Linked DNA regions of Drosophila melanogaster. The protein of the gene in region 2 interacts with the protein of the main gene of each other region in a biochemical or structural test. Each region holds a gene or a part of one and is shown on either strand. Other genes may lie near its edges.

Region 1 (6,409 bases), 6.3 Mb from region 2:
CGATGTATCGGTTTTCGATGCCACCACTATTTCCGCGTCTGGTCACACTTTTCGGTAATTGTAATAAATAAAGGAAAGGCGGAGATTTTTGTTAAAATTTTAACAAAATTGGATGACATTTTAGAAGGTAAGTGTGGAAATTAGTGTTTATACAACAGCTCATTGCACGGATAATATAAGTAACCCGTATACTCGTGTTTTAGCCGCTTGCTCACCTCCCGCAATACTCACGATACCGCACCGCCCGACAAAAATGCCGCGATATAGGGAGTGGGACTTGGCCTGCAAGGTGTACGTGGGAAACCTGGGCTCCTCGGCGTCCAAGCACGAGATAGAAGGCGCATTTGCCAAATATGGACCCCTGCGAAACGTGTGGGTGGCCCGCAATCCACCAGGTTTCGCCTTTGTCGAATTTGAGGATCGCCGTGACGCGGAAGACGCAACGCGTGCCCTGGACGGAACACGCTGCTGCGGCACTAGGATTCGCGTAGAGATGTCTTCGGGTCGCTCGCGCGATCGCCGGCGCGGAGAAGGCGGCAGTAGTGGTCGCTCTGGTTCCGGACGCTACAGGTAATTCCACGACAAAAAAACTGTACTTCTCATGTTACTTGGCTCAATGTGTCTCCCAAATGGAACAATGGATCACTTGACTCCAAAAATTGGGTACTTTCTTCAGGTTTCTAAGCATATGATGGCGGTCTTGCCTGTAACCGTCAAAATTAATCAATCCTTATCAAAACGTATAAAATTTGTTATCGAAATTTCATTGGAATCGTCGCAAAAAACATTAATTGCGAATAGCAAACATGTACATTTTCCCGCCTTTTTCTGCACGTGATAGAACAGCCTTCGAAATGTCAGTTTTATGAGTACTTCTTCGCAGGCTGTTTTATTCATGTCCAACTGACATCACATCGCTATTCATAACATTTCTAATTAAAAATTGACTTGGTACTTTATTTAGACCAAACTTACAAACTGTATACATATATTATCTACGATCCAATCATTTAGTGGTTGTTAAATTCGAGTTATCGACACTTTTTCAGGATAACTCCTTCGGCTAGAACTACTTCCACTGCTACTTCTTCCTTCTACAACATCAACAATCTACAACAGCAACCATCTTCACAGCCACAGCCAGCAACCTTCAACTTGCAACTCTAAATTAACCATGTTCAGCGTCACAGCCTCACAGAAGTTTTGATTAGCAACCCAAATGATTTCATCCTAGAAGAAGCAATGCAGTCGCCCAAAGAGTTCTTTTTTAAAGTTATCCTGCGTATCCTTCAAATAATTGCTTACAATTATTTCTTTAATTTAGTTGCCTATGATATGAGGGTTCGTCCGCTTTCTCAAGTACTTGACTCTGATGTCGAGAAAACTGGCCTTGAACGCGTTTAACGCTGATGATCACAGCTACTATAGATTTGTTCGACCATTTTCTTATTGCATATGTATCCGACAAAGTAGAAAGCTTTAAACTCTAATTATAGGATATCAGTTGGTAATAGATAGTAAATGTAATTGCAGCAGCTAAATGTAATAGCAGCATTAGCAATAATACTCTTATCTTAATTGGTTCACAGCTTAATTCATAGAAACAAAACAGTTTGCACAGCTTTCATTTTTGTTCCCCCTGGTAATTAGTTTAAGTAACTATTTAGCAGTATTTAACACTCCTATTTTGCAGCTCTTTGTAAGGCGCGTATGTACATACACTTCTTACCATTCTAAGCTGATTTAAATAATTTTATTAAGCTTTTAAGTAATCATTTCTTCTTTACCAATGCGTTTATTTCAGGTCACGTTCGCCACGTCGCTCCCGATCGCCCCGCAGCCGCAGCTTCTCGCGCGATCGTCGAAGTCGCTCGGATTCTCGGGATCGTCATTAATGTTTCCAAAAGGATATCGTTTAAGCAGTGTCGCATCAAAGAACAAGCCGGCCAAGGCCGTATTTTCTGTAGGAATTCCTATGTCGATTGCGATCCAAGTAAATTTACTTCAGATGACAATATAAATCTTTCGATGCATTCTTGAAATTCCTTTTTTTTTTTTACTAAAAAATAAAGACGCACAATCAGCGAGTTTTGATTGGTTTCATATATCATCAAAAACAGTTTGTTTCCAGCAAAAGGGGACGTGCTTAGTGCACTGTTTATTATGTGAGAATTGACGTGCTGCTGTACAACTTGCTTAGAAGTATGTTCGAATAATAATTTAAACAGGCGCACGAGTGTAAAATATTATGTATACTAACAAAGGTACACTTTAAACTTAGGAGAAGACGCAACACGAATTCGTTGCACATTTCGCACTGGAATAAACCTTACGTCTAGTCATTGTATGTATCCTCGCTGCAGGGCTCTGAGCCCCATCCCAAATGGCAGATCGGATTGGTTATGGCTGCCCCTAGCGCATGCGGTATGTGTTCGACTCCTGAATTTGAGACAATTCGCCCTTGAAATTAATGTCGATGACGAAGTCCAGGTCACGGTTGTTCCGCTCGTTGGGCTTCATCTGGAACGTGCCAGTGATCTCCTCGTTCTTCTTTGCCGTCATGTGGTCATCGAGGTAGAACACGGTTTGCTTCCAATGCGTGTATGTGGAGTCTGGTGACGTACTGAACCCAAGACGCTTGTGGCACTTGGTGAACTCTATATTAAAGTAGGTGACTAATGCCTGCACGAAGTCGTTGCGCTTGATGCATAGGCTGAACTTGGACGAGAAGTTAAGATCGGCCTTTTGCACGGTATACAGATCCACCTCCTTGACCATGCAAGATGTGGATACCACTTGCTTGGGATCGACCACGTCGACCAGTGGCTCGGTCACGGCCACCTTACGAATGCAGCTCATGTCGAAGCCGTAGACATCGTCCCACCAGTTGATCTTCTCGTCCTTGTACTGTCTGTCCTCGATGGCCGTGATATACAGCGTGCCCCTATCTGGGAACATCATGCCGTCCTTCTTCAGCCACTTGTCCCGAGCGTACAACACTGTATCCAGCATGGATTCGTAGAACAGGCAGTAACTAAATTAAGGAAAGAAATTAAAATGGTTAATATGCTAAATCAAATATGACCACTTTTTAAAAGCTTAACTACAAATGAAAACCTACCCCATCCACTCGGAAATAATAATGTCCACTCCCTCAATACCATTTGGAAGCTCAATCTCCTCAATCTTGCCCTTGACAACCGTGATTACATCCTGCAGATTGTTGTCAATGACCACTTGGCGGGCAAACTCAATGATGTTGGAGCAGTCGACGGCAATCACCTGAGCAGCACCGGCTTTGGCAGCGAACATGGAGAGAATGCCGGTACCGCAACCCACGTCCAGTACGGTCTGCAAAGAGGAGATACCCCGGTGAGAAGGGCTACGAAAAATGGGGAAACCCCGGAAGTTAACCCTACCTTGCCCTGAAACAGATGCTTGTTGTGGTACATGGCGTTGCGGTATGTGACGGTGCGCACTTCGTCCTTGAGCATCTCCTCGTGGATCCCGAAATGGGCATAGGAGTCAAAGTAATAGTCGCGGGACGTCATCTCGTCGGCGTTGGCATTGGGATTATCACCGGTGGAGCCCTCCGCGGGCAGCTTCTTCGCCACATTGTTTGAGTTCGCATTTGAATTGGGCGTGATGCCGGTCGCCGATTCCACAGCTGCCTCCATGGGAATGTCTGTGCTGGCCTGCGAATCGGGTTCGTCAGCTACTGGCCTGTCGATTGCCGTCACATTTTGACCAAAACTTACCATTTTCTAATTTCTTCGGCGTCTCTTTGGTTTTTCACGTCGAAAAATTGGCGACTAAATGATGGGACTGTTTCTACAGCACGCTAGTTTAAAAGGTCGCTTATCAACACTGCCCCCGCACAAAAGCTGGAAACAAATATCGCCAGCTCGATATTATTGGATTTTTCTGAAATTTTAGTATTTTTGAGCTGGGAAGAATTGGAGTCAGTTGTCTAAGGCATGTTCCATATAATCGAGTAAAATAATCTTTGTCATAACATCAATAAGATATAATAAATACGTTCATGGTTTATTAACTGCTGCAATGCTTGTTGTATTGGTCCTATTTCACTGCTAACAAAAATACATAAACTGGGAAACACGTTTCATCGATAGTTGTAAATAAGATCCGATAGTTTTACTGGTAAGTGCTCATCTCTAGCTACCGCTTGCCCGGTAATTTTGGCGGCAAAATATTCGCACATCGCATTTACTAAAAAACGAAATATAAAGCGAAGCAGAAGTAGCGTCTATTACCTCAGTTCTTCTTTTTAACTTTGTTTACCCTATCAAAATGGAAGGCTTCGACGATGCGGGTGTGTTCTTTTCGGACAATTTCGGCGGAGATAACCAGCAGGATGCGCAAATCAACTTGCAGGCGGTAAAGAAGAAGTACAAGGAGTTCATCCGGACATTTAACGAGGAGAACTTTTTCTACAAATACCGGTAAGTGAACTGCATCTCCTCATCTGAACCCCATTTAAGGTAATCCCCCTGCAGTGACACCCTGAAGAGGAACTATCTTAATGGTCGCTACTTCTTGGAGATTGAGATGGAGGATTTGGTGGGCTTCGATGAGACCTTGGCTGACAAGCTGAACAAGCAGCCGACGGAGCATTTGGAAATCTTCGAGGAGGCTGCCCGGGAGGTAGCCGACGAGATCACAGCTCCCCGGCCGGAGCACGAGGAACATATGCACGACATCCAGATTCTTCTGAGCTCCAATGCGAATCCCACCAACATACGACAGTTGAAGTCGGACTGCGTATCCAAGCTGGTTAAGATCGCCGGAATCATTGTCGCAGCCTCAGGAATAAGTGCCAAGGCTACGCGGATGTCTATCCAATGCCTGTCCTGCAGCACGGTCATACCGAATCTCAAAGTGAATCCAGGTTTGGAGGGCTACGCCCTACCCAGGAAGTGCAACACGGAGCAGGCGGGCAGACCCAAGTGCCCGCTGGACCCCTTCTTCATCATGCCGGACAAGTGCAAGTGCGTCGATTTCCAGACCCTTAAGTTGCAAGAGCTCCCCGACTTTGTGCCACAGGGTGAGATTCCCCGCCACTTGCAGCTCTTCTGCGATCGCTCGCTCTGTGAACGCGTGGTGCCCGGCAATCGCGTGCTTATCCAGGGCATATACTCCATTCGCAAGGTGGGCAAACCCTCGCGTCGGGATGGTCGCGAGAAAGCCGTCGTTGGAGTCCGTGCTCCTTACATGAGGGTGGTGGGCATCACCGTCGACTCAGAGGGTGCGGGTGCCATCTCCCGATACAGCAACATCACATCCGATGAGGAGGAGCACTTCCGGCGAATGGCCGCCTCTGGGGACATCTACGAACGTCTCTCACAGTCACTGGCGCCCAGCATCTTCGGCTCTCGGGATATCAAGAAAGCTATAACTTGTATGCTTTTTGGCGGGTCTCGTAAGCGTTTACCGGATGGTCTGTGCCGTCGAGGCGACATTAACGTCTTACTGCTGGGAGATCCTGGTACTGCCAAGTCACAGTTGTTAAAGTTTGTGGAGAAGGTGGCACCCATAGCAGTCTACACTTCGGGCAAAGGCTCCAGTGCGGCTGGTCTCACGGCTTCGGTTATGAAGGATCCTCAAACGGTGAGAAAAAACATTGCACACCTAATCCTTACAAATTAAATGATACATTAATCTTTAGCGTAACTTTGTCATGGAGGGTGGAGCCATGGTGCTGGCCGATGGAGGCGTGGTTTGTATTGATGAGTTCGACAAAATGCGAGAGGATGATCGTGTGGCCATTCACGAGGCCATGGAACAGCAGACAATATCCATTGCCAAAGCCGGCATCACGACCACCTTGAACTCACGCTGTTCGGTCTTGGCAGCTGCCAACTCCATTTTCGGTCGATGGGACGACACCAAGGGCGAGGAGAACATTGACTTTATGCCCACAATTCTCTCCCGTTTCGACATGATTTTCATTGTAAAGGATATTCACGATGAGTCGCGGGACATTACGCTGGCCAAGCACATCATCAACGTGCATCTGAGCTCTAACAAGTCAGCGCCTTCAGAGCCGGCTGAGGGTGAGATATCGCTGTCGACGTTCAAGAAGTATATTCACTACTGCCGAACTCATTGCGGTCCGCGCCTGAGCGAAGCTGCCGGCGAGAAGCTAAAGAGCCGCTACGTGCTTATGCGCAGTGGAGCCGGCCAGCAGGAGAAGGCATCTGACAAGCGGCTAAGCATTCCCATCACTGTGCGTCAGTTGGAGGCTGTCATCCGCATTTCGGAGTCGCTGGCAAAGATTCGTTTGCAACCGTTCGCCACAGATGAGCACGTGAACGAAGCACTTCGACTTTTCCAAGTGTCTACCCTTGATGCTGCGATGACTGGCAGCTTGGCTGGAGCCGAAGGATTC
Region 2 (7,243 bases):
GGTGGTGGTGGTGGGTTCCACGACATCGCGCTGCGTCTTGGTCGGCGGATCTAGGCGACTCTTGACTGCAAGCAGAAGTTCGTTTCTCTGCTTGCGCTTGAGTTGCTTCATTAGCGCTTCGAAATCCTCGCGAAATCGTTTGCCATTCTGGGCTTGCGTTTGGGGAGGATGAGCGGTGGCTCTGGACGTGCTGACTGGAATCGTAAGTGTGGATCCGCTGGTGGACTCCGTTGCGCCGCCGCAGCATTTCCGAAACATGGTCGTAAAGGTGGTGGCACTTATCATCCGGCGGTCCACCGGCTGAACCTGTCCCTGATCCGGACTCCGATCCTGATCCAGATCGCTTCCGTCGATCAACATATCGTCGCAGGAGCTTGCGCAGCTGTAACCAGGAGCGGTACAGCAGCGGTCGCACGCTGACGGAGGCGGCGGCAACACATCCATGTGATTTGGCAGACGGCGGTACGGATGGCTGTTGTTGTTGTTGTGGCCTTGCCCCTGACTCAGACTCAAACTCTGGCCACAGGAGCTGGAGTTTGAGCTGGAGCAGTCCATCCCGCAGGCTATCGAACTGTAAGGCGGCAGCGGCGTCTGTCGCATTGCCAAGGAGTCCTCTTCGTTGCAGGAATAACCAAAGCTTGGAGTACACTGATGAGGGCGGGGTCGATGTGGAGGGGGAGGCGGCCGTGGTGGCTGAGCGGGCGGTGCTGCTGACACCCCATTGCTCGGATTGTTGCTGGACGCATAACGCCATAACACCTTCTTTTCTCTTGGGAATATCATGGAGGGACATACAGTTTTGCGGTAACATCGATCCTATTGTATGCGCATTATTTGTAGTTGACTAACTTGGTTCGCGGACTCGACGGGGCCGGCTAGTCACGGTAGTTCACTTTGTGTTCTTCTTAGCTACTCCGATTGCACGGGTGGGTGTCTGGGAACTTGAACTTATTTCGGGGCGGGCGAGGGATTCAGGGGACTTGGGAACTTGTCAAACTGTTTTATACTTCTCGTATCACTCGTTGATATGTATACTTTCGACGGGCTTGATATGTACTGTCCAGTGGTGTGCACTCTGCAATGAAAGAGGAGTACGATGATTAGTCACTGGCCTAATTGGTCTTCCGAGCATCGTTAAATGCACTCGTGGTTAAGTAAAGCGGGGGCGGAGTCTAGAGAGGGGTTTGCCTGCACCTAATCTTCAAAACATAATTAAACTGGTCCCTAAATCTGTATTATTTAGATGTAACCAAAACATACATAGCTAAACCGATCGGCTTGTTAATTCAATGTTTATATTGCTACTTTTTGTTTTCTTTGAATAGAATAATATATGTATGTAGATGAATCTGATTTGAAAGATACCAAAATCATAATGCTTTATTTTTTATTAAACCCTCTGAGCACATATGCAGGTGCATACTTACATACATATGTATGTATCAAATCAATAATGAGCGTAGTGTTGTTTGAATGTGCCACATTTCCTATAAAAAGGCTACATTCCCCGTTTTCGATTTCCAGACTACGCCCCTGGTGGCAGGCAAGGAATCTAGTGGTGGATCGCTTGAGTGAGTAATACCCCCTCCCCGCCCTCTTTCACCAACGGACAGCCGACGCCAGTGCATATGCAAAGATCTGTGCGGCAGCATCAGCTGTCAGCGAGAAAGAGACGGACGATGGTGGGGGGGAACGATTGGTAAGGGGGAACGATTGGTAAGGGGGAACGAACGGGAGAGCGCCGCAAATTAACAGCCCAAATACGCTTGTGTTTGTGTATGTGTGTGGCCCATGCGACTATTTCCATTTTGTTGCTGGCATTTCTTGCGCTCCTTATCGACGACAAAAGTGGCGCCGCCGGCATGACGGCAACAACATAAAAAACAGCACAGCAGCGACGAACAGCAACAAAATTACGAGTCAGCCCCACAAGCACGCTCACCAACACCAACACACCGCATCAAACACACTCGCGCTCTCTCGCTCACTCATACATACAGAATGCTTGCGTGCAGAGTAAAAAAAAGGCAGGGCGGCGGGCGTGCGAGCGAGAGGGAAATGCCTGGCGCCACTGACGTAATAAAAGAAATAATAGTAACGATGTCGGCGGCAGAGGCGTCGTCGGAATGGCGCCACACCAACACACGCTCACCTTAGACAGACACACGGACAGGGACGAGCGACGCGACGGTCGGTTTGTCAGCCGGTTTGACAAGTTGAAGAATCAACAATTTAAGGTTGAGGTGAGTATGAAATAATCTACCGCAGCCGTGGTTCAAAAGAGTACGTACCACCAGAGAGTGCGAGTGTGGTGGGAATTAGAATTGAAGGCGCTCTCGAAACTCTTCTGAAAAGTCATCAAGTCGAGAACTTAGCGTTCTTAAAGTCTAGCTTTGAATTAGAACTTATCAGAATGCATCTGAGTTTTTCAATCGGAAACAAAAAAAGGTATGTTTTAAACAGTAGCATTATCTTATGAGACCAATCTTAGGACTTTACTTATTTTGTCAAGAACAGAAACATAATTAATAATAGGAATCAATTTATAAGATCCTTCATTCCCTCCACATAAACCGTATAACTGCACGATTAATATTTGTCAATAATAAAAAATGCAATGCGAAAGCGACAGAAATAAATTATTTACATATGGACATACATCTAAAATTATTTATGATGTGCGATGTATGCACCACAGTTTTTAGCTTCAAAATTGCAAAGTAATTGATACCACCGTACTTTTGCTTTCAAATATTTACCAATCTTGAGTCAGCCGGAACAAAAACCCTTCCACATTTAAAACTATGAAAGATGTGTAATCCAGTGAACAATAGAGAGAGCTGTTTACGTTCATAAAATTCAGTATTTAGAGCAAGTCCAATACAAAAAAAAAAAATTGCACATCAACACTTCAAAAGCCATATATCGCACATTTAACAATCAATTGAAAACAGTCTATACTCAAGAATTTTTATTCAAACCCGCTGAGTGATTATTTTTTCCAAATTCACGTTTACAAATTTATATGTATATTTATATATACATACGTAGTTATGGACTTTCTGATAATGAAAGCATGAGTAATTGTAAGTCCAATTGGAAACTATAGCGATTTGGTAACAGATATTCGCGACTCGGTATTATATAAAATATAAAATTATCTTCGAAACCGCATCAGAAAATATTGAATATGAAAACTTAAATAACGCTAATGAGTGATAAGCATTTGTTTGTTGACTTAGCTATTTTGCATAATCACGAGTGCACCTCTTCAAATCGGCTTGATTTTGAGTTCTAAGGAGTGGAAATAGGTACTTACTGTTTAAAATTTTTTGTTAGGTGGTTTCCGTTTAATCCTTTCCTTATGTAGTATTACTTTTTGATATGTGTAGGTGTATTTGATATGTTTAGAGGTTCACTTGATAATTTGTATTTACATTTACTGCAGAAGAAACAAACTATTAGCAACGAATTTGAATTTGTTTAACACGTGCCGACGGGTTTTTGTTATTGGATTGGTAACCGCAGTCGATTTTTTCTTTTTTTGCTGCTGGTCAGTCACTTTTTCCTATGCATGTGTACGTTTGTGTGGATTTAATAAGGTGCGAGTAATGTGTTGATTTCGGTTGAATATTATGTTGAAGTAGCCGAATGCCGGAAAACAATAACAATTTTTAACGTGGTGGAAAAGGTGTTTTTTGTTGGCTTGCGATTTGCGCTCTGCTTTGATTCTGCCGGCGTCGCTACCACCGCTATATACGTATACGTTTGTTTGTTTGTATGGGCCAGTGCAGGTACAATGTGTGTACGTGGCTGGCGAACAATTGCATTTCTTTTCTTGCTGTTATTTGCTCAGTTAAAGCTTGAACACACTTATTATTTGGCCCGCATTTTCCCCCCGATGCTCATTGATTTTTAATTCGCACACGAACACAACCACAAAACACACGCACGCAAACGAGATCGAAGATCCGTTATCCGGGCGGAGAATTCTCGCTCTTTCTTTGCACACACAAACACAAACAAATGCATAGAATTCATAACAGCAAGCAGCAAAAATAAAAGATTTTCGCCTGACGATTTCCAATCCCCTTCGATTCTCACTTCAATTGATTTGCCTGCTGCACTCACACTTTTTCTATGTATTTCCTCCTTCACATTTCAGTTCTAGAGCGCACAACAACTTCACTGCACTTGTTTGTTGTTTACGACGCCCGCGTTTACAACAACAAAAACAAAACCCGTAAATGTTGCGAAAAAAGAGTCGGGGAAAGGCGAAAAAGTCCGATATTTAGGAACTGCGTTTTTTTGTCATTTAATTAACCCAAAAATCATTTAGCAGTCTCGAACACAAATAACGTTATTTCGGAAAATTTCTCGTGGCAATACGTCAAGTATCCATCTTTTCGTTGATATCTTTCGGATTTGGATTTCTCGAACGGCAAAAGAACACACAAGCGACGCGGTTGAAAATTGTTGGGGCAATGAGCGAAGCGCTAACTGTGCGGATTGATAGTCTTTGGAGCTGTGGGGAATAAACGTGGGAGAAACGCCTGAGAGAGCGCCTGGGAGAGGGAGGTTTAGAGAGAGAGAGAAAAATTAAGAGACCAAGAAATTGTAAAATTAGAATCATACATAAAGTTCCCGTTCTAACAATGTATAAGAACTTCAGTTTTATTATTAATTAGAAAAGACTTGTTAAAATATCTTCATATTTTTCACATTCCCATTCCTACTACAAGTGCTAAACCAAAGAATCCAAGACATCTGAGAGTGGAGAGCATCCGTTGGATGGCTACTATGGCGTGGTGAGTTTCGTTTCGCTTCCGCGGACAGATACAACCTGCGCACGCACACCCACACTCGCTTCATGCTGGCAGTGCCGTTGGAAATAGTGTTGGCTAACGCGGTAATTTCAAAAATTGATAAGTTTTCCTAGACAAATTATGTGGGAAATACTAAGCTGTCCTATAATATAGGAGAAATCTATAACTATATGTTTATAATTGAAAAGCCGTGTTCAGTATGAGCATTTTATAATTTAAGTTAAAAAAAGATTAATGTACCTTAAAATTTTATTTAAGATGTCTTAAAAGGTAAATGCTTAAAAGGCATACAAGGTTTAATTAATTCGAATCAAATTAAAAACTCTCAGTACATATTAGCCCCTGTTAAATACGTCTGTTGAAGTTGCCAAAAAACTCAACTCCCTCGATGCTGTCGAGAGCGGAGAACCTGAGGAAGCAACATCGACATTTAGCGCGGTCTTGGTTGCCGCAAAATGTGATGAATGGTTGTGATCAAGGGCATATCAGTTGCATTGCCTTGCCCATGTCTGCCAAACACACGGACGCACACACGCCCATACAAAGTGGCGCCCCTGCAGCGGCCCTACACACACAGAAACACACTTAAAGCGCGCAGCGAGGATCGCATACCGCACTGCGAGAAAAGTCGATGGAATTATCTATGCTAAAATTTTTTACAGTCGTTATTACTATAACTAATTCTCTAAATAATAATAAATATAAGTTTACCTTTAGTTCATCTATGACATACAGTACAGTGCAATACAGTGGCAACGTCGAATTTAGTTATTGTAGTTTATTGTAATTTAAAACCGGTATTACTTAAACGTGTAAGGAACACAAGATCACGTCCAGATTTTTCACAGTGCCAAGCAGACGCTCCAACAGGAACCCTGGTTCGTCAGTTCCAGTAGAAATACATAATTGTCTCTCGTTTGGACGACTCGAAAACACAAAAGCAAATAGGCTCCCGTCATTACGATAATAATAGGTCGGGAACAGGGAACACAGGCCACTTGTGGAGTGAAACCGGCAACCGGCGATGTTGGCAGGAGGAATTTGATCGCGTCGTGAGCGTTAAATAAGCGAGAGTCGGGCCCCTGACTTGCCCCGTGGAGGGGCATGGGTATTAACTCCGGAAAGGACGGCGGCAGGAGTTTGAATACATTATTTTCTTATGAGGCCAGAGACATTCCGCAAATGCTAAACAAATAATACGACAGCGAGGAGTAGCGTCCCACAAAGCATCTTATTTAAAGGGCCTCAATTATTCAGCAGTGCCTTTGTTATGGTTAACCCTTTTCTTAGAATATAAAAATATTGCAACTCTACTAAGCCAATTGCTCTTAAGCATAATATTGGGAAAAAGGTATTTCGAATGTATATATTAAAACTAAATGCTTACTTTATATTTTCGCCATTTTAAAACTACATCGGAGATATTACATTGTGGTTAGTTTTACACGTGTCTATCGCAACAGTCAACCTTATTAAAAGTTACGTCATTTAACTATAAACAAATGCACAACGTGGATAAGCACAAATATGTGTATGGCTTTTGTGTGTGGGAAGAGGTATGGTATATGGTTTGGGTGATATAGTAGATGGTCACCTATGAAATCTTAGCTCGCTCGGCTGTTTACGAGTTTTGTTGTTTGGAAAGTATCGGGTTACCGATTCGACTCTTTTAAATGCCGACAGAACTTGTGGAATTTGGACCATTCAGAAAGGTTTTCTAATTTGCTATCTGAAGAATTCTCGGAAGTTTGTTGGCTACTGACCACCAAATTTTGAAAAACAACGCTTGATTCGTAAAAAGGTAAAAAAAAAATTCGCAACTTATTCTTGAAAAGTTCCCACATTCGTGTCAGAATAAGGTAATAAGTTGGTTAAGTACTTGATCTGCCGACTTGCTGCAATTTCTGAATGATTGTTCAGTTGACAGGGGTCCACTTGGGTGGCCACTCATCCTTGAAAACTCTTCACTCGCATTCTCTGCGAATCTGCTGCAATCCACTATCAGCAGCCGACTTCCTCTGTCTTCAGAAAACTCAAAGCTGAAGAAATTCTTGGCAGATCTGAAAACCAGTTTAGCATCGTTCATCATCGTCTTATCCTGTGCAATTCCTTGGCATTTGTTTGCCCCTTAACGAGTTCCAGCCTTTTTTATCCATTGATACACCCCATTGCTGTCCCTCTTGCCCTCGGTTTTGAGTTTCATAAGCTAATTTTCGAGAGTTCATTCAAAAGAGATAAATCTGAGTAGCGTGTGTGTCCCTTCAAGTCGGAAGAATTTGTCTGGCCTTTGAGCTCTTGAAAGCCATATCGACTTACCTGTTAATTCTGATCAGCGTTCTTTGTTTTAGCCAAAGAGATAACAAACTCACATATCTTTCGCATTTTGACTATCTTCACAACGAAACTACAGTCTTATA

Evidence for each region.
Region 1: of the proteins of Dad (region 2) and Art1, one has a biochemical effect on the other in vitro, tested with the Drosophila melanogaster proteins (one study listed by BioGRID).

What each region holds. Positions count from the first base shown.
Region 1 is NT_033777.3:10,784,354-10,790,762, forward strand, and holds Art1 (arginine methyltransferase 1), read right to left. Parts: upstream 3,874-6,409; 5' UTR 3,762-3,873; coding exon 3,759-3,761; intron 3,696-3,758; coding exon 3,420-3,695; intron 3,352-3,419; coding exon 3,122-3,351; intron 3,035-3,121; coding exon 2,413-3,034; 3' UTR 2,128-2,412; downstream 1-2,127. Other genes in the region: Rbp1 (RNA-binding protein 1), read left to right, coding at 254-570, 1,050-1,167; Mcm5 (minichromosome maintenance 5), read left to right, coding at 4,312-4,463, 4,518-5,628, 5,687-6,409.
Region 2 is NT_033777.3:17,051,251-17,058,493, reverse strand, and holds the start of Dad (daughters against dpp), read right to left. Parts: upstream 4,488-7,243; 5' UTR 4,132-4,487; intron 3,598-4,131; exon of another isoform or gene 3,459-3,597; 5' UTR 3,320-3,458; intron 1,076-3,319; 5' UTR 784-1,075; coding exon 1-783.